Linked DNA regions of Coturnix japonica. The protein of the gene in region 1 purifies or fractionates together with the protein of each later gene. This does not show direct contact. Links are inferred from orthologs where the notes say so. Each region holds a gene or a part of one and is shown in the gene's direction. Other genes may lie near its edges.

Region 1 (5,159 bases):
GGCTCAAACATACTATTATCCCTCTCGTACTGCTGGGTTTTTATTGTTCATCTGAGCAGGCGGCATTTTATGATCACGAATAGCAGTTGAAAATCTGGGCTCCGCTCTACTGCGGGAGGATATTATTTCTCAAAATAGCCCCACTTAATTTCTGGCCCATTCTGGTGAAAGAGGGGTGCTGCAGCCTTCACTTCTTATCATCTCCCGTGAAACCATTAACAATCTGAGCAGTGGCAGGTCTCATTTTGTGCTCGATTCCCCGCACCCTGCTATTTGCACACAGCAAAGCAGTAGTTTTCTTTCATCTTGGCTGGGATAAATTTCTCAGGACTTGTAATTTATTTAATCAAGGGGTGAGGGGTGGGAAAATACAGCTGCTGTAACCCCCGTATTGTGGTTAGATGTACGCTTCTAACTCGCAGCAGGACAAAGTCAGCTAAAGCACTGGAGCAAAACATCAAGTAGTAAAGCCTTTTGTTTTTTAAATGACAGCCCTTTCACCTTCATCTTCTCTCTTTAAGAGGACCCCACCTCTTGGGATTCTGCCTTTAAAGATATCACCATCTGAGCAAAATAGGATAAAACATGACTGGTCTCCTAGAAGCATAGCTTGCCAGTAAACCAACTCCAGAGTTGTTATGAATAACAGAATCACAGAATTATCGAGGTTGGAAAAGACCTAGAAGATCATCTAGTCCAACCATTACCAATACTTCCCAGCTAAATCATATTCATCAACACAATATCAATACATTTCTTGAACACTCCCATGGCCGGTGACTCCACCACCTCCCTGGGCAGTGCATTCCAATGCCTGACCACCCTTTCTGAGAAGTAATACTTCCTAATGTCCAGCCTGAATCTCCCCTGGCGCAGCTTAAAACCATTCCCTCTAGTTCTATCACTGATTACACGAGAGAAGAGGCCAACCCCCAGCTCACTACAACCTCCCTTCAGGAAGTTATAGAGAGCTATAAGGTCTCCCCTGAGCCTCCTCCAGGCTGAGGGGATGCCATGGGCATCCAGATGTTTAATGTAAGCCTGCCTCTAGTTTCAGACACTTCCAGACCAAGGAAAGGTCTCTGGTCAGACCCAGTCCCTCACCCTCAGCCGTCCCTCCGCTGACCCAGCTCCGCGCTGTTCCCAGCTCCCGTCATTGCCACAGAGCGCAGACCCGTGGCAGCTGTATGCAGCCTTGAGTCCTCCCCTCGTGCTTCCCCTCCGGGCTGAACAAACCCAGGGGCCTCACGTTTATTTACTCACCACCTCTAAACATTCAGCACCACATTAAGCTCCAACCTGCCTGATTCTCTGGGTGGAGAGCGCTTCTCCCTTTGCAGGCCTATAACAAGCAATACCGCCCCTGTATCCCGTTAGAGCCCCTTGTTCCGATCTCCCGTCCTCACCCCGCCCCGTTCCCGCACTATTCCACCAGATGTCCCCTGCCGTCCACCCCGCGTTCCCGCTGCGTCCCGTCGTGCCCCGCGCGTTGCACTACAGCTCCCGGCAGCGCCCGCCCCTCCCCTTCCCAAACGGCCGCGGTGCCCACGTGACCGCCTCGCGGCCAACCGTGTTGGCGGCCGTTTTTTTTCCCTTTCCTTTTTTCCCTTCTCCCTCCCCCGCCCCTTCCCCTCCCGCGGCTGCTGCGGCCACACCGAGCTAAGATGGCGACCGTGGAACCGGTGAGTGCCCGCTTCCCGCTGGCCGCACGCCGCTCGCTCTCTCCCCTCCGCCCGCTCCTTCCCTCCCGCCGCACTCCGCTGTTCTCTCCGCCGTTCCCCGGCGTTGCGGGCCGTGCCTCGCGGTGCCGGGTCGGGGCGGGCAGGGCGGCGGGGCCGGCGCGGAGCGCACGCACGCACGCACGGCGCCGGGGGGAGGGGAGGGCGCGGCGTTGGCCTTTGTGCCGGGCCCGGGGCGGGCGGGGGCCAACGGGAGGTGAGCGGCGGCAGCGGCCGGATTGGGAACAGGACGAGGACGAGGAGGCGGCCGGCGGCGCCGCGTGTGGCGCGCGGGGGTGGCCATGTTGCCGGGCCGGCGCGGCCCGCCGCTAACGGCGGCGCTAACGGGTGAGAGCGGCGCAGGGCGGAGCGGGCGGCACGTCCGTCCTTCCCGGGACGGCGCCTTCCCGCCCCGCAGCCCGCACTAAACTCGGATGGAAGCTTTGCTGGGGACTTGTTCACAACTAAAAACGGCATTTTTTTTCCCCTACGTGTGCTCGTGGTACCGCGCTCTCACAGGCGCCGTTCTTGCCTGCGTTTCTCCGACGAACTGGAGCAGCCGGAGCCGGCCCAGCCCTGCCGCTGCTCTGCTCCCATGCGCCCCGTAGGCCCCGGGTGACCGCCTGGCTGTAGGGCGACGAGGAGAGGCTGAAGGAAGGGAAGGAAGGGCTCTTTGTGGCCGCGGCTTACCGACACTGAGCAGCCGGTGCCTCCTTTGTAGCACTTGGTGTTTAAATCCAACAACCACTTCGCTGTTTTTGAATAAAGATGAATTATACTTTGTAAGGAATAGCAGGACTAGGGGAAATGGTTTTAATATAAAAGAGAGAAGATTTAGGTTCACTAGGAGAGTGGTGAGGCCCTGGAACAGGCTGCCCAGGGAGGTTGTGGATGCCCCGTCCTTGGAGGTGTTCAAGACCAGGTTGAATGGGGCCCTGGGCAACCTGATCTAGTAAATGTGTATGTTTGGTGGCCCTGCCAGGCAGGGGGTTGGAACTACATGATCCTTGAGGTCCCTTCCAACCCGGGTCGTTCTGTGATTCTGTGTAAGGAAGATGGTCCTGTACCCTTTTATGAAGGATGTTGGCTCTCCCAATTTTCTTTTACGAATGAAATAACTGCCTCTATTTACAAGAAGCAATGGTGCTGGTCACTATCTGTACATTTCCTGGCAGTTCTGGGAAGGCAGGGCAGCAGTTGTTAGGACAGTGAGCTGCAGTACTCTGCCCACGGTCACCAGCCGCAGTATTGAGCACTGGGTTTGGTGTCCCATAGACGTGTTTCCAAAGGTGAGAGCTTTGTGTCAGCTCACTGCTTTGGAATGGTTGCTGAGCTTGTCAGGTGTTGGGATAAACAGTGTGTCATATTGATGGCCTCTGGAATGGGAGCTACGCAAAGAGCACAGCTTTGTAACTTCCTTAGCTGTGATACTGGCAAAAGCATGACCATCTCTGAATTGCTCTCCATTGCACAAGTGTGTGATCGCATACTGAACTTGATCTGGGTCCTTACCGAGCCAGATAGAAACAATGGCTTTTGTCACGCCATTTCCCAAAGAGATTGGTTCCCCAGATCCAGCTTGTTGTGTAATGATAAGCAGTTGTGCTGACCCATTGAGGGCGGAGGATGTACCAACACTTAGGACTGTTCAAGCAGCATTGCCACCAAAGGGTCTACTTGCAATGAAGTATGCTTTCCTTCAGGAAACATCAGCTATGCTTGCTTAATTTTAAATGTCTTTAAATAGTTAAACTTTTGTTTATTATTCTTCCAGGTGTCTCACACTTCTACCTAAGCATTGAGTCAAGCCCACATAGTAACAGAGATCTTAGATGCTTGGTGTTGCATAAATACTGCATAATATTCCACAGAACAAATTAATTCTATGGGGATGTTAGGGATTTGATTACCTTGTGATCATAGGGAGCCTCTTTTCCTGTAGACCTTCAAAATCTTGTCTGAGGTTTAGCAGGGTCTTGCTAAAAATTGGTGACGCGCATTCTCAGTAACATATAAGTTCTAGAAATGTTTTATATCATGTTAAGAGGCTGAAAAAACTTTTTGGAACTGTATAGGAGTATTGAGACTTGAGGTGGAGATACTGCGGAGTCTCCAATGGAAACTGGTAAGGAAAGCAGGATTATATATGTGTAAGTCTGTTGTACTGTGGCTTATACTTCCACTGCTTTAAATTTTACCTTAGATGTGATCAGATGACACTGTGCAAAAGTCCACAAAGCCAACAACAAAACAAATAGTAATGCTTTAGTAAACAGTAGTTTACCAAAGGTGACTTTAAAATGTAACCATGGAGGAACAAACATGTGAGTGGGATAAGTTGTGTGGAAGTAATTTGTGTAGGAGCAGTTGGTCCCTTATTGCTCGGATTGGAAACAAATGTTATGATCTTTGGTTTGTTTTGTGACAGCTACTTTTGCACTTGATCAAATGTAGTTCTTAATCTAACTTCACATTTCAAGAGTAAACTCAAGTCATACAGCCTGAGAAACAGTTGTTTGGGCAGAATAGTCAATAAATCAGACTCAAAACTGAGCTGATCTTTCTTTGAATGAAATGATATTACTCCTGAAGGGATATAAACAGTGATATAGGGTCTTGATGTTCTTGGAAGTTCAAAATAGCTCCTCAAATACAAGGTGTGCTGAGAGGTATCAATGACAGAGAGCTAGTGTGTACATTCAGTGCAGGCCAGGTTCAGCTTTAGATTTACTCCTATTACTAGGTATTTCAGCTATAGCCTTGTCCAGCTCTGGTTGAAATCTGTAAAGTGCTCACGTATTGTACAGTAAACATAAATGTATCTTGTGTGCTGTTAAATAATTGAGAGCTCCTAGCACAAGTTGACTTCCTCACTGTAGATTACATTTCTGGTAATACAAAGCCTCCTGTATTAGTTTAAGAGAAGGAATGCGTTGGACATCTTGTAACTGAGATAAACATCTTTCTGAAAGCAGTTTAAGAACAGATACATTTCACAGTGCATACAGAATTTCAAACTTATTTCGGGCTAATGCATTAAAAGTAGTATGAGACTGTGTTATGCTGCTTCTGTTGATTCAACCTGCGGGTCTAGGGATACATAGGAAGTGTTGAAGATGAAGTGTGACCCTTTGGTAGCTCTGTAAGGATCAGTGTGAGCTTTGAATGGACAGGGCAGGGAATCAAATGAGCGGTGCTAGAAGACAGTGCAAAGCATGAAAGGGAAATTCCTTAAATCCTAAAATGTAGTATTTCTCTAAATCGTTCATATTGTGGAGGTATTAAAAGTGTTGTCTATAGATTTATGTGCTATTTAATGTTTTGTTAACTGCCTGAGAATGGCACTTGTCCTTGATTATTATGTAATGGATGTGAGGCTGTAACATTTTAACTATTGAAGCTTTTTCTAAATGTGTGGAACAGTTGTTCAAGCGCATCATC
Region 2 (5,347 bases), on another chromosome or scaffold:
TCTGGGGAAAAAAAAAAAAAAAAAAAAAGAGTGGGAAAAGTTTTTTAATCGCGAAAAAGCGAATTGCGTTTCTTTTTCTCCCTCTCTCCGAGGAACTGCCGTGCTCCGCAGAGGGATCCTGGAGCAGAAATAGCCTCGGTGCGGACGTCCCGTCCAGGGCGGCTGCGGACCGCTCGGTGCCTCCGCGGACGCTCCGCGTTCGTCGCAGCGTTGGGACCGCAGCGCTCCGTCCGGAGCTGCGCTGTATCCCTCCCGACGGAAAGTCCAACTGAACGCAGTTCCAAAGAGAAAGGAAAAAGGTTTGATTTAATCCAGAAAATAATTAAAATCTCATGTATTTTTATTGGTTTGAGTATCCAGCAGAGTGAAAATATTGAAACTCCGAGCCCCCTTGCATTAAAAAGTCACAACTGCTCTATTTTATTGGTTCTGACTGTGTGAAAAAAATTATAAGGACAACATTGAAAAAATCCGGGTTTTAGAGCCCCGAATGGCCGTAAAAACAATAAAATCAACTATAAAACCTGCACTAGTGATATTAAAAAATTATGTAGTTCAATAAATGTGACATTTTCATGAATGCGATTTAATAGTCTCCGGGCCGGGAGGAGGAAGGCGAAGGGGTAACAATTGGATCGGAGCGGGGCGGTGCTGCGGGGCCGCGAAATTAAGTGCTTCATTTTCCTTGTTGGGGATTATGCAGTGGGAGTGGAATGTAATAACTGCGCCATTAAACCTTCCCTTTAACAAGGCCTGTTGCAGGTATAAAAGTCAGAAAAGAATAATCTCTTCCTCTATTTATTTGTTTTCAAATAATGCAGCAAAACGAGGATTTTTGCCTTTTTTTTTTTTTTTTTTTTGGCTTAAATTTGTCCACAGCGTTGGGAAGCACAGACCGTAACGCCCCGCGGAGGGCAGCGGGTCAGCGCCTTCTGCGCCCCCATTAAGTGCTCCGAGCTGCAAATCCAACACTTCCAGCCCAACCATGAGCTAAGCAACCCCCTTGGACGGAGCAATGCCTCGGAGACCGGGAGCGGAGAGAAAAAATAATCAGAACTGTCAGCCCGCTTGACGTGTACCTGATATTTACAAGACACAAGACCGCGCTTTAAAGGTGAGTTTTGGCATTTGTTAACAACATAAAGAAAAAAATCCAACCTCCTGATATTATTAAAAATACATATATTTCCATTTCCACAACACCCTTTCGTCTCGTTCCCAGTCTCTTACTTATTAAGAACGTCGTGGGTTTGGGGGGAAAAAAAAAAAAAAAAAAAAAAAAATATATATATATGTGTGTGTGTGTGTGTATAAAAGCAGCACCTGCTGTTCCTTAGCAGCTCTCTGCGCTGGCTGTCACCACGCGGAGGGAGGAGGACACCTGCTGCCGCCCTGCTCCCACGTCGGGCGCTCCCCTGGCCGGCGGGGACGGTTCTGCGGGGTTTGGAGCTGCCGAAGGAGGGCGAGCGGCCGCCTCGCATCGCCTCCCTCCCTCCGGAGCGCCAGGAGCCGCTCCCAGCGGCGCGTCCGTCCTGTCCGGGGCTCCGCCGCCGCTACCTCTCATTCAGCGGCAGTAGGTGCCCGAGGGGTACCGCGTCCGCGGGCCCGCACAACCCCGTCCGTCCCCTCTGTTACCCAGAGCCGGACCGGGCTGCGGGGCGGGGTGGAGGGGATCGCCCCTCGGGACGCCCGAAATCCGGGCCCGGTGCCTGAGGAACGCGCCCCCTCGCCCGCCCCCCCAGGTGCCCGCTCGGTGCCATCGGGACCCGGTTCGCGTTGATTGGCGCCGCGGGGAGTCCGCTCGGGGGAGGCGGGGGGGAGCTTTCGCCGGCGGGGGTGGTTTCCCCCTTCCCTGGCCGGGCTCATTGGCTAGACGGAGCCGCGGCAGGAAGGGGACAGAGACCACGCGGGCTCCGCCCCGCGCCGATAGAAACCTATCGGAGGGGAACCCGAGCCCGGAGAAACCCGCCGCGGCGGTGGCAGCAGCCGGCGGCCGCGCTCGGGGCCGCTCTCCGAGGGGCGGCCGGGCCGCGGGGGCCGGGCCATGCAGTACCAGGCGCCGGGCGCGGCTCCGGCGGCGGCCCTGGGCGTCGGCGTCCCGCTGTACGCGCCCACGCCGCTGCTGCAGCCCGCGCACCCCACGCCCTTCTACATCGAGGACATCCTGGGCCGCGGCCCCGCCGCCGCTCCGGCCCCCCACTCCCTGCCCGCCCCGCCGCCGCCGACGCTGCCGTCGCCCAACTCTTCCTTCACCAGCCTGGTGGCCCCGTACCGGACCCCCGTCTACGAGCCGACCCCCATCCACCCGGCCTTCTCCCACCACCTCGCCGCCACCTACGGCACCGGCGCTTACGCCGGGCCCCTTTACTCCTTTCCTCGCGCCGTCGGCGACTACACGCACGCACTGATCCGCCAGGACTCCCTGGGTAAGCCGCGGTCCCCTCGCCCCGCCCGTCCCGTCCCGTTCCGTCTCGTTCCGTCCCGTGCCGCCGTCGGGGAAGCGGCGGAGCTCAGCCCCCGGCCCCCTCGGCCCCCGCCCGCTTTACAGTAAATTCAGGGCAGCTCCGCGTTGGGAGTGAGACCGCAGTGCGCGGCCGCGGTGACTCAGATTTGTTTTCCTTCAACCGAGCGCCTCTCGGAGTGTCCTTAGTAATGTCGCGTGTGGTTTTGGTGGGGAGTTTTAATTGTGCCGAGAGATCGCGCGACAGATCGCGGCCTTTTCCTGCCGACGGGTCCCAGTGCCGCCCGCACCGGCCCCGCTCCGGCTCCGCGGCTCGAGGGCGGGGGTCGGGGGGGGCCGTTCTGTCCCGGTGCGGGGCCCGCGCTGCCCTCAGTGATTGCAAAACGAGCCCTGAGTCACCGCACCGCAGCAGCGAAGGAGCCTGACCCTTTCCGTTCATACAGGAAACCTTGAGCTCTCGATAGGAGTAAATCTGGTTTCAGAAGCTGTTAAGTGTTTTCCTGGCCGCCCGGAGCAGGCTCTTCCCCGGGAGTCGTGCACGGCGCTGATTACTTTATCGACATCCTCAATACAGACAAATTCAGGAAACACTCGGCTTCTGATAGCCGGGATCCGTTTTTCTGATATTGTTCATTTCCTCTGTGTGGGATGTGCCTTTATGACAGCTAAAATAACCAGTTGCTTCCTATTTTTTTGAGGCTGTTTTGCACCAGAATTACTAAAGCCTGACGCAAGCAAAAATCTTGAAAAACAATGCAGCGAATTTCAAAGGCTGCGGGCGGCGGACGGGGGGGACGGCAGCGATACCTCGGCCACGGCCAACGACCCCGGGCCGGGACCGACTCCCGGGGGCGCCCCGCGGGCACTGGGCTGTAGCGCAGCGCGGGGTCCGGGCCGTCCCGGTGGGAGCTGCTGCGGAGGGGACACGCGGCAGTGAAGGAGCAGAAGGAAGCGAAGGGCTTTTTTTTTTTTTTTTGCTTTTTTCTCTACCCTGTATTTTCTTTGCGCGATAGACCAACAGGAAACACATTGACGGAAACGCTGCCAGAGCCCGTGGAGCGGCTCTGAGCACATTCTGCTCCGCGGGGCCGAGAAATCGGAGAGAAAGTTGGGGCCGGGAGCGGGGCTGGGGGCCGGGACTGGCGGTGACGGCGCTGCCCCTTTCTCCCCGAAGGAAAGCCGCTGCTATGGAGCCCCTTCATCCAGCGGCCGCTGCATAAGAGGAAGGGCGGGCAGGTGCGCTTCTCTAACGAGCAGACCATCGAGCTGGAGAAGAAGTTCGAGACCCAGAAATACCTCTCCCCACCCGAGAGGAAGCGCCTGGCCAAGCTGCTGCAGCTCAGCGAGCGCCAGGTGAGGCCCTGCCCCGCTCACCGCGGCTGGGGGGGCGGGGGGGGTCCCTGCGGCCCCACCGGTGTTACTCTATAGCTTTCTCTCTCGCCGTAGGTCAAAACGTGGTTCCAGAACCGCAGAGCCAAATGGAGGCGCCTGAAGCAGGTACGGGATGGTTCCGTTTCTATAGCAATACGGGTTTAATGGCGTTATCTCGGCGCGGCGCCCGGTGCGGGATGTGTGCAGCACTCATCCGGCACTGTTTAACCTCTTCACCTTGATTAAAACGGCAAACACCGCGCCGCGGCCCGACGGGACTCGCTCGGGCAGCACTAATGCTAAAAGCTCCTAATGCGGCTCCGGGTCAATGCCGGGCGGCCCTCACACCGCGCCCGTTGCAACTCGGCGCTAATTGTTTTGTAAACCCATATGTTGTTTAGCCAATTAGCGCTGGGGAGATAAGCGAGCGACGGTGAACCGCTCCGACGGTGGGGTCGGAGGGGACGGTCACGGCGCTTTCAGAGACTCCCCCACCCCAACCCCCCGTCGGGGGCAGCTCAGGGAGATCCACGGTGCTTTACGGGCGGTCCCGATGCGGGGCGCTGCGCCGTTCCTCCGCCTTATGGACTGTGCAGAAGGGCAGAGCTCTGTTTTTATGGCCTAGCTCAGACGGTGCCCTCGGCTCAAACGTTTGGGAAAAAATCCCAGTCGTGGCCTGGTTCGGGCACGCAGAATATTTGTTCTGCGGCTTTGTCTAATGTCTACTGCACCTCGGCTCAGATCCCCTTTCTCCTTCACTCGGTGCTGGTCTGTGGCAAAGTCCATCGGCGGTGCTAGCAGCTCCCGGCCCCAAAGCCGCCCCCTCCATGCTGTGACCCCATACACGTCCCCACACACCGTTCAGCAGTGCCACGCATCTCCACCCACTTCCCCCAATGTGGGCATGCGGGCTCTTGCTCTCGGCAATGGACTTCGGTTCGATTTATTTTTTAATAGCGTGTTTCCATGTTGAGGTTAATCCTTAGAGCTTAATTACATTTTTCTTTCCGTTAACTTTTGAGCCACTGATGAATTCAGTCTCCTTCCTTTTGCCACGGGGATTGCCGTGTAATTGGGGAGAGGTCTAGGCCGTGTCTGGAGCCTCGCTCCAAACATTTGCTTTGCTAAAGAGCAGTCAGCCCGTAGGGCTCAGCCCTTTCTTCACAGAACCCCGCGGTGTTTTCCTGTAGCTCCGTACCCAGCGTCTTTCTGTCCCCGCAGGAGAACCCCCAGGCCACCAAAAAGGAGGAGGTGGAAGGCACCGACGATCACGGCGAACCGCGGCCGGAGGGCAGCCCCAGCCCCGCGAGGGGGGGCGAGGCCGAGCCGCAGGACAGCCCCTCGGCTGCCTCGCAGGAGGACCCCGAGTCCGACGTCTCCGATGACTCCGACCAGGAGGTGGACATCGAGGGCGACAAAGGCTTCCACAGTGCCACACGCTGACAGCCCGCAGGCACGGAGCCGAACTCGGCTTGCGCTGTCCCAGGACTGCGGGAAGGAGGATTTTATGACTGG
Region 3 (5,081 bases), on another chromosome or scaffold:
AATAAATAAATAAATGGAATGCAGAGCTGTGAACAGTCAACACCATCTGACTCTGACAGCATAAAAACCACATCAGAGTTCACAAATAAGAGCCCTGGAGTGCACAAAATAGCAGCATTTTTGCCATTCTCTCTCTAGGCAGGTTCCTTACACTATTTAGATGAAATATGGATTTCCCAAACTAGTCACTTCCCTTCTGCACGCAGGTTCCATCCCAAGCCACCAAAGCAAATGTTTGTGCTGGCAGACACAAACAGCTCCAGTCCCAGAGGTCTGCTGAGGCTGGATGTAATTCTGGTCTGGGCTCCAGTGGATGGGAAGTGCTGATGTCAACCCAGAGAACACTGAGGAAAGGACACTCATCCATGAGAAGCAAAGTTGGAAAATTGTTCTATAAGAACAAAGGGCAGGGAGCTCTGCGTGGGGCCGCGCCGCCACCTGGCGGGGACGTGCGGGGCTGCATCTGCTCGAGCGGCTGGGGGCTGGATTGGGATTTCCATTCTAGCTTTAACATCAGCAGCTCCCCATGTCAAACAGGATCTCTAATAATTAAAGTAGCCCCATAAAACATTGCAAAAAAAGTGAGGAACGGTTTGAATTCCTTCTGCTAATATGAAGACATATCAACCAATGCATTATACTAGAAATTAGGCTGCCAACAATAGCCGTTCATCTACTAGCAACCACAAGTGAACAGGAAGCAGAGGAGTATCCAAAACACTCCATTGAGGCTGAATAAGGAAACTACCACTTAGTTTTAATTTAAAACCCAGAAGCCACTGACCATCACTACTTCATACTAAAGCCCCAGAGAAATCCTAGTAGCAATTGGATGGACCAGTATGATAGAAAAAGCATTACAAAAGAGATGCAATGATAAAAGGACCAACACAGTAGAAAGGTGCTATAAAGTAAGAGAAGATTGCTCACCTGTATCAGAAAATTCTAGGTTTGCAGCATAAAGCTTCACTAAGGAGAGATCTCCAGGAAAAAACCCTTTACTAGCAGCAGTCAGCCCTTAAATAAGGTCTAAGAGAGGTGCAGGCAGGCTGCATCCCCTCCAGGCACACAGCTGAATTGCCTTCACCTGTGCTCCCAGGGCTGACCAGTCCTTTCCCCAGCTGTTCAATCAGTGGTTCAGGCCGTGACTCAACACTTACCATACAGTCCTGAAAAACACAGATAACCAACAGCCAGCCAAAGCATTGGCAATATGACCATGAGAAATGGCAGAGAGGGAGTTCCATGAACACAGTGAGAGCTGGAGACACAGACCTGATGTTCCAAGCAGGAAAAGAGACTTCCATTCTTTGATACCAACAGATTCAGAAAATCAGTCTTGCTATTCTTTTTCCTAATTATGCTTATCTACATGAAATGCATATTTTATTTTACCTGTAATTCAATGCAATATTTTTAATGTACTCTAAGGGGTTTTTCGCCTCTCAACAAGAAATTATGTTTATTCCCATTGCACAAGCAAGATGAGACGATAGCTACTGATATAGAAATTATATATCAGCTGTGAAGATGCAGCCGACATAACAGCACATGCAAAAGTAATGGCTCAGTGACGTGTAAGGGCTGTAAAAAGAAATCACACCAGAGAATCACAGAATTGTAGGGGTTGGAAGGGACCTCTAGAGATCATCGAGTCCAACCCCCTGCCAAAGCAGGCTCCTACACCACGTCACACAGGTAGCACAGCTCTGCCTTTGGCAGACAGGAGCTCAGCGCTGCGCCAGCCCATGAGGGGGCGGATGCTCACGGAAGTGGCGTATGTGACAGGCGTTCCGATCAGCCAATTGTCGTGGCCGAGGTCTCTCCCCTTTCTCTTCGCAAAATGGCGGCTCCTGCTCCCGCTGTGGCTCCGGTCCCTCCCGCTGCCGCCCCGGCTCCCAGCCCCACGGCTGCTCCCACTACACCCACGGCGGCCGCGCCCCCTCCGCCCTCAGCCCCGGCGGCACCGCCGCCCTCCGCCCCGCTGTCCGCCGCGCTCTCGGGTCCTTTCCCCGGCGGCCGCGTGGTGCGGCTGCACCCGGTGGTGCTGGCCTCCATCGTGGACAGCTTCGAGCGGCGCAACGAGGGCGCGGCGCGGGTCATCGGGACCCTGCTGGGTAAGAGCCGCAATGCCGCAGCCCCCACTGATACCGCCCCACTGATACCGCCCCACTGATACCGCCCCACTAAGACCAATACCGCCCCACTAACCGCTGTCGTCCCGCAGGCACCGTGGACAAGCACTCGGTGGAGGTCACCAACTGCTTCTCCGTCCCGCACAACGAGTCCGAGGATGAGGTACGGTGTGGGGGCTATGGGGGATGTGCCATCGGGGCTCCTGCACCCGCTGACTCGGCTCTGTCCCCTTCCCCAGGTGGCTGTTGATATGGAGTTTGCCAAAAACATGTACGAGCTGCACAAAAAGGTGTCTCCCAGTGAGATCATCCTGGGCTGGTGAGTTCTATGGCCACAGGGAAGTGCGGGCAGTTGTGCAGGTCCCTCAGATACCTCAGATCTGTCATTGCTGTCAGAGGCTGGAAAGCAGAAGCAGCAGTGAAGTCGTGCCATCACTCAGGATAGGAAAGGATGCTGTCGCAGACTTAGAGCGTTTTTGGTTAGTCTAGAAGAGCTGTCACAGACAGGAGGGTTGGGAATGCTCATGGATCTATTAGAATGCAGTGATACAGTCTGTAAGGTAACTAGCTGGAGGGAGAACACAAAAGTACCAAAGGGCTGGTGGGAAACGGTGATGTTAGCCTGAACACAAGGGTGTTCTCTGAGTAAAGGTGGAAATACCTGTGATGGGGTGTTACAGGAAAAGAACTCGTTTGTGCACGGATAACTGGCCTCGTTTGTCTATTGACATCCTCTCTGGCCCCTTTCTATGGAACAAAATCCTACAAGCGCAGAACTCTTGGCTTCCTCAACAACCCATCATGGCACAGCAAGGTGCAGTTCTCATGGCAGTCGCTTTCCTGTGCATGCAAGAAGTTAATTGCGGAGCAATTGAAGGAGCGAGATGAACAAGCCCTGCCTCCTGCACAGGGGTGTTTAATTTGTTTAAGATTTACTTTGCTGGTCCAAATTTGCTTGGCATGCTTTGATTTATAAGGAAATAAAGATTTGGCCCAGAGCATAGTGACAAAAAACTGACTCTTTTTGATGGTAATACAACACTGACCCTGTGCATGTTTTGGGCATGTGTGCACTCAGCCTATAATTCTAGGAGAGCCATAAAACTACACATGACCTAGTTATAATACTAGTCTTTACTATGTGTCTGCAACTCAGTGCTTGGACATCAGGGTTTTAGAATACAGACCTGTTAAATACCAACAAATACTGGGCATTTGAACATTAGAAGAGTGGTCTTTCAACATTTGCTTTTTCCAAGGTACGCAACAGGTCACGACATCACAGAACATTCTGTCCTGATCCACGAGTACTACAGCCGGGAAGCACACAATCCAATCCACCTCACTGTGGACACAAGTCTCCAGAACTCACGCATGAGCATTAAAGCCTATGTCAGGTACATGGGGACAGGAACTGTCTGAATTACTAACAGATATTGTATCAGGATGGCACCTACAGCTTGATAGTGTTGCTTAGAGCCCTATCCAGCCTCGAATGCCTACGGGAATGGGGCATCCACCACATGTCTGGGCAACCTGTGCCAGTGCCTCACCACCCCTATTTTAAAAATGTTCTCTTTTTGTCCAATGTAAATCTCCCCTCTTTTAGTTTGAAACCATTTCCCCTTGTCCTATCACAACAGACTCTGCTGAAGAGTCTGCCCCCCTTCCTTCATATAGCTTCCCCTTTAGATATTGAAAGGACACACTCAGGTCACCTCACACCATTCTCCAGGCTACACAGCCCCAGCTCTCAGCCTGTCCACGTAGCAGAGTTGTTTCATCCCTGGGATCCTATTTGTGGCCCTCCTCTGGATGCACTCTAATAGGTCCATGTTTCTCCTGTGCTGAGGACTCTGCATCTGGATGCAGTACTCCAGGTGAGGCCTCACCAGAGCAGAGGGGCAAGATCACATCCCACTCCCCGCTGGCCACGTTTCAGGATACAGTTGGCTCTCTGGGCTGCAAAGCATGTTGCTGGCTTGTGTCCAGCTTAACATCCATGAGTTCCCCCAGGTCCTTTTTGGCAGGGCTGTGCTCCATCCTTACATCCCCCAGGTTATACTGATAGCAGGGGTTATCACGACCCAGGTGCACTTGGATTTATCAAACCTCATGAGGTTTACCTGGGCACACTGCTTGAGTCTGCCTAGGTCTCTTCAAATGGCATTTTATCCCTCAGACATGTCAGCTTCACCAAGAAGACAGTACTGAACTCATCATGCGCTTGTACTGATAAATGTCAGACCAGCTAGGAATATTTTTGGATGAAAATTTGCAGTTAATAATATACCTGTATTGATTTCCTGTCCTTGGTTATACATGGTATTAATATTGCTGATTTTACTGACAGTGAGTAACCTATTCGTGTTCACACTGTAGTGCTAATAAAGATCATTGAGATGGAAAATTATTTCCTTTCAGATGTGTCCATGCTGAATTTATGTGTTTTTCCTAGTGCCCCAATGGGAGTCCCTGGTAAAACTATGGGCGTGATGTTCACACCACTGACAGTGAAGTATGTTTATTACGACACAGAGCGGATAGGAGGTGAATGCTTTATTCCTATTTTGGGTCTAACCATTGTCGTGATACTGTTCAAATGCTGTTTGGTTATTAAGCCTGGTAAAATTACCACTCTGGGGGGGAATTAAACTGTCTCACTGAACCTGATGCTATCCTAGAGAGTATTGAACAAGTTAAAGTTTTAAGCTGCTTTCTGTGTCAGTCGGATTTCTCAGTGATCCTGGTTTTGCTTTCAGTGGATCTCATCATGAAGACCTGCTTTAGCCCTAATCGAGTGATCGGCTTGTCCAGTGACTTACAGCAGGTGGGGTCAGCCTCAGCCAGGATTCAGGACACCCTGGGTATGGTGCTACAGTATGCAGAGGATGTACTGGTAAGGCAGACTTTATATGAGACTGAAGATAAGTTTGACATAAGATT
Region 4 (4,601 bases), on another chromosome or scaffold:
ACTGTCATCCAGACATCCTGAACTGGGACTACCGCCTTCCAAATATTTTGCAGGAGATCCAGCATTGGGACCCTGATGTAAGTATGACTTAAGCACCGTACACGTTACTATCACCAGAATTTGAATGTTTTGTTTGATCTAATTGCATTGCAGCAGGTTTTTTCCCTTCCTTTTTTTAAGGTTGAGGAAAGCAGTAGGAAGATGCTGCCTACTTGCTGGCTGAGTGCTGATTCCTCTGAGGCTATGAGGCCTTGTGTGTGCATTTTTGTTTTGCTGCCTATTTTGTCTTGAGTGTGTTCTTGTAGCATGTAGCAATACTTTGCTAACAGGTTAACTTCATAAACAGCTGATGTGGAGGAAGAAGAGTGAAAATTACAAAACCATGACATATGTTTCTTGGGGGAAGGTTTATATGGCAGCACAGGAGATGGGGCTCACATAAGAGAGGACTTCAGAACTTTCTCTATTCTTTGAGCTGTCTTTGCGTGTTGAAGGAACTTTTGCCTCATCGCTGAATGACTGAGTGATAAACTAATGTGACCCAGAAAGTTATCACTCTCTAGATGGGAATTACAGGACAGAATTGCAATCATGGCCTTTCTGTTGCAGGGTTAGTATGCGAGTATACTTTTGCACTTCCTTCCTTCCCTGAAACAAGGTAACTGGCAAATACTGTAGGAGCGAGTGAGGTCTCTGACTTCCTTCCAGGTTCTGTGTCTGCAGGAGGTGCAAGACAACCATTACAGGGAGCAGCTAGAACCAACGCTCGCGAAGATGGGTATGTCCTGCTTTTATCTCTGTATTTCCAGCTCATGGTACTGGCTGACCAGTGCTTCCCACTTAATGTCTTTAAAGCATTCAGTCTTGAAAGAACTTTTCTTCCTTTTTATTTGAGCTGCTGGCCTTACTTCTGAACCACCTGCCTAGACTTTTACCCTTTCGTTTGCAACTGACTTTTCAGTTTGAGAGATCAGAGTAATAAATCTCTCCCTGTCCTTCTAGAACAGAGAAAAGACATGGTTATGAATTATAGGCAGTGATTACTGAGACAGAATTGAGTATAATGCTGCACCCAGAGCATTACAACTGTATGTTAGAATTATTAAGAGTAACTGTATATAACTAGGCGTAACTGTATGGTAGAAAGCATTGCACCTGAAGGAAGAAAGGTTGGAGTCCATGCTTCCCAAGCAGTGAGTCTTATGTGCCCCAGCACTGCTTATTGCTAGAGGGAGCTGAGGCCTTAAGGAATGCTGATAAGGGATGTAAAGTGTTATGTTACTAAGCAACCAGTGCTTTACAAGTAGGGTTGCTTACTGGCAGATGATGACTGATTTTATATATATACTTTTTTTCTTTAGAGCCTAGATCTGTTATAGAAAGCAGGCTGAAAATTAACACAATAGGAATGCATAGGGGTTGGATAAGTAATCCTTCTGTACAGGGTACTGTTAGTATGCTACTGGCTACTGTTAGCATAGCAGACTTCTACAAGTCTACTATACTTACTTGCTGAACTTGAATGGAAAGAGATCCTGAGGTAGCAGCCAGTAGCTTTTTAATGAGTGATGGTTTCTCTTCAGGCTTTGCTTGCTTCTATAAACGGAGGACTGGGAGGAAGACTGATGGCTGCGCAGTGTGCTATAAGCAAAGCAGATTCCAGCTGATCACCGTCAGCCCCATCGAGTATTTCCGGCCTGGCCTAGATGTCCTCAATCGGGATAATGTGGGTTTGGTGCTTCTGCTGCAGCCCCTGCTCCCAGAGGGTCTTGATCTGAAGGCAGTCAGTCCTTTGTGCATCGCCAACACACACGTGTTGTTCAATCCCCGTCGGGGAGATATCAAACTTGCGCAGATGGCCTTGCTCCTAGCAGAGATTGACAAGATTGCAAAAACTGCTGAAGGTCAGTACTATCCTGTCATCTTGTGTGGCGACCTGAACTCTGTACCTGACTCTCCGCTTTACACATTCATCCGGAATGGTGAACTTTTCTACCAGGGATTGCCAGCCTGGAAGGTAGGTGCCGGGCAGGACTGGGCTTGGGTGGCTCTTTACTGCTTGCTGCTGATAAAAGCATGGCTGTATTCTTCCTCTTAAAATAAAAAGTCGCAGTATTAAACTTAATTATTCAGGACTCATCCCCAGTGCCTCCAGCAGTGCTGAGGAAAGAAGCAGACAAATGTGTACACGTTGCTTCCAACACTGCTTTTTTTTTGTTTCTTTTGAGCCAGACCAGTGATAACAGTTACTTCATTCCACATCCTGGTTTTCCCTTGTTGTGGAGTTTTTGTTGCTGGGTGACTGGAAGTGTAGGGGAGCAGAACTCCACCAAGGCAACCTGAAATTTTTGTAGGTGTTTGATATGAAACCAGTTTTGCCCATGAAATGGTTACCTATGCTGGGCTCTTCAAGTGGCTACCTATTAGTTTATATCCATGCTTATTTATGTCTTCGGCTTTCGAGCAAAATTATCAATTCAATAACATATGTCCACAAAGTATGTTTGGTATGGTGACTTCTAGTTAATTGAATCCGTGTCCCACTGCACTGCCACTGTGTGGGCACTTTCCTGTTTTGTTCTTGGTGAGTGTGTATACATACACTGTCTATATCATGCAGAAGTTCTGCTGTGTGTTGCTAACATTTTCCTCTCCTGATTCTTGCCTCCTTGCAGGTGTCTGGTCAGGAAGACCTTTCCCAACAGCTGCATTGTCGGAAACTGCTGTCCCCGCTGTGGCCGAGCTCACTGGGTGTAACAGACAATTGCCAATATGTTTCTGTGTGCCAGCCAAAGAAAAAGGGTGAGCTCTAGTGTGCACTGAGCGTATGAGCTTGCTATGGATTCAGAGTCTGTAGACCTTGCTGTCTCCCAGAGTAGCCAATGCATGCGTCATATGATGCAGTCAGCAACAAATTCTATGCTTATATCCTTTTCCTTGGTATTTGAATTAAATTCAGTTTTTCTGGAATCCTGTAGCCCAGTATCTGCAGTCATATTTCTCTAGCCAGCAGCAGAGAATTCCAGGTAACCATTGCTCTACACAGCTTTTATATTCCCAGACTTAAGCTCTTGTGCAGTTATAAACAGTGTTTGGTATCCATAGCTTTCAACTGCAGGTGTTTGTAAGAGCAATTTTGGGTAGTGATTGAATACCAGTATTAGAAAGTGCCAGGGGGCCACTTTAAAACAGTAATTGTCCTTTACTGTTTCTAAAGCAGATTCTAAAAAAGGAGGCACACTAAATAGTTTTTGTTGGAAGTCTGAACATAAAATTTGTATTCAAACTGATTTGCAGCGCTGTTCTTTCTTTTTAGGCAGACTTGAGTTTCCTTATGTTGGGAGCACACTGATCTGCTTAAAAATCTCTTACACTTACAGTGCTTCAGCGGGAACGTTCTTAATTTGTCTCATCAGGCACTGACCATGATGGATGCATTGGCTAAAGGAATAGAACAGAGCACAGTTCCTGCTGTGTTTAGGTCATTAAGTGATTCCTGTTCTCATGGTGTAAGGGTTCTTGGTATTAGACTTGCTGTAAATGTGACTTTGCTACAGATGTTTTATCGTCTTAAATTGTATTTCTGTCTGCAGGCCGACGTAAGTACAGCCGGGACTTCCTGCTCCAGTTCCAGTTTTGTGATGTTGCCTGTGAACGACCACCAGAGCTGGTCTTCTTGGAAGGTGTGACAGATGCTAAACCAGGTATTAAGGGGTAGTTTTTGAGCTCACGACTCTCCCAGCTGTATAGTGATGAAAAACTGTTGGAGGTAATACCTCGTACAAAAAGGGAAGTCAGAAGGATAGCTTTCTGTGGCTGTGTGATTATTAATGGATTCCATGAGAGATCAGAGCATAGTCTTACTGCAGCACTGACAGTGTTTCTTGAGGCATGCTGGGTTTCAGACTCTTCTGAAGGCCGATTTAAGATTATTGTTGCAGGAGAACAAACCTTAAGATCATAACATCACGATGGCTGCGACATTGATGTCTCTGGATGCTGATACCCAGTAGACAGTACCTCACCCCATGCTTTGTTCCATAACTGGTTCTAATCTCTCCGTTTCTATTCTGCCTTTTTAAAGTTATACCCTTTGTATAAGCTGTAGGCTAAGGCAAATGAACTTTCTGCAAGAGTATAGGTTGAACTAGCCTGGGCTTTGATAGTATAAAATACTTTAAAGACATGTCCTTATTTGGACAGAATATGGCTATAGTGCTCTCAGAATGCTCCTGTTAGTCTTAGCTGGGGTTTCCTTTGAATGTTTTTCTTTGACATGGCTTTGGCTGGAAGCTATCTGTTCTCTGTGGGCAAAAGGACTTACTTTTGTCTCAGGAGAAGTTTTTCAGACTTGGAACAAGCAGCCTGTTCCAGTATCTGTGTACATCTGTCTGGAATCTTTTCTACTCCTTTGCAGACCCCCCTCCATACTGGCCCAAGCACACTGCTCCAGTGAATGACCCTGATCTCCAGACGTTCATCCCAAGGTAATTTGATGCACCTTCTGTGGCACTGATGTTTAACTTTCTGCAGCTTTGAAAATCAGCTTGAAATAAAGACTGAAATAATTGTGAGGGTCCACCCAGATCTGAGCAACTAGG

What was found.
Region 2: the proteins of EIF4E (region 1) and HHEX purify together in Homo sapiens (affinity purification with western blotting; 3 studies listed by BioGRID and IntAct, with this or other methods). This does not show direct contact. The link is inferred for Coturnix japonica from reciprocal best matches to the Homo sapiens genes EIF4E and HHEX.
Region 3: the proteins of EIF4E (region 1) and EIF3F purify together in Homo sapiens (affinity purification with mass spectrometry; 3 studies listed by BioGRID and IntAct, with this or other methods). This does not show direct contact. The link is inferred for Coturnix japonica from reciprocal best matches to the Homo sapiens genes EIF4E and EIF3F.
Region 4: the proteins of EIF4E (region 1) and ANGEL1 purify together in Homo sapiens (affinity purification with mass spectrometry; 3 studies listed by BioGRID and IntAct, counting the BioPlex papers as one, with this or other methods). This does not show direct contact. The link is inferred for Coturnix japonica from reciprocal best matches to the Homo sapiens genes EIF4E and ANGEL1.

What each region holds. Positions count from the first base shown.
Region 1 is NC_029519.1:53,886,035-53,891,193, reverse strand, and holds the start of EIF4E (eukaryotic translation initiation factor 4E), read left to right. Parts: upstream 1-1,559; 5' UTR 1,560-1,664; coding exon 1,665-1,682; intron 1,683-5,159. UniProt on the Homo sapiens protein: Acts in the cytoplasm to initiate and regulate protein synthesis and is required in the nucleus for export of a subset of mRNAs from the nucleus to the cytoplasm which promotes processes such as RNA capping, processing and splicing.
Region 2 is NC_029521.1:17,969,047-17,974,393, reverse strand, and holds the start of HHEX (hematopoietically-expressed homeobox protein HHEX), read left to right. Parts: upstream 1-2,029; 5' UTR 2,030-2,044; coding exon 2,045-2,426; intron 2,427-3,635; coding exon 3,636-3,814; intron 3,815-3,907; coding exon 3,908-3,958; intron 3,959-5,053; coding exon 5,054-5,275; 3' UTR 5,276-5,347. Other genes in the region: uncharacterized protein LOC116653610, read right to left, coding at 1-268, 1,324-1,481. UniProt on the Homo sapiens protein: Recognizes the DNA sequence 5'-ATTAA-3'. Transcriptional repressor. Activator of WNT-mediated transcription in conjunction with CTNNB1.
Region 3 is NC_029521.1:13,754,439-13,759,519, reverse strand, and holds the start of EIF3F (eukaryotic translation initiation factor 3 subunit F), read left to right. Parts: upstream 1-1,821; 5' UTR 1,822-1,843; coding exon 1,844-2,117; intron 2,118-2,227; coding exon 2,228-2,298; intron 2,299-2,374; coding exon 2,375-2,454; intron 2,455-3,394; coding exon 3,395-3,532; intron 3,533-4,593; coding exon 4,594-4,685; intron 4,686-4,897; coding exon 4,898-5,034; intron 5,035-5,081. UniProt on the Homo sapiens protein: Component of the eukaryotic translation initiation factor 3 (eIF-3) complex, which is required for several steps in the initiation of protein synthesis.
Region 4 is NC_029520.1:35,258,811-35,263,411, reverse strand, and holds part of ANGEL1 (protein angel homolog 1), read left to right. Parts: coding exon 1-77; intron 78-708; coding exon 709-778; intron 779-1,583; coding exon 1,584-2,017; intron 2,018-2,675; coding exon 2,676-2,802; intron 2,803-3,593; coding exon 3,594-3,704; intron 3,705-4,417; coding exon 4,418-4,487; intron 4,488-4,601.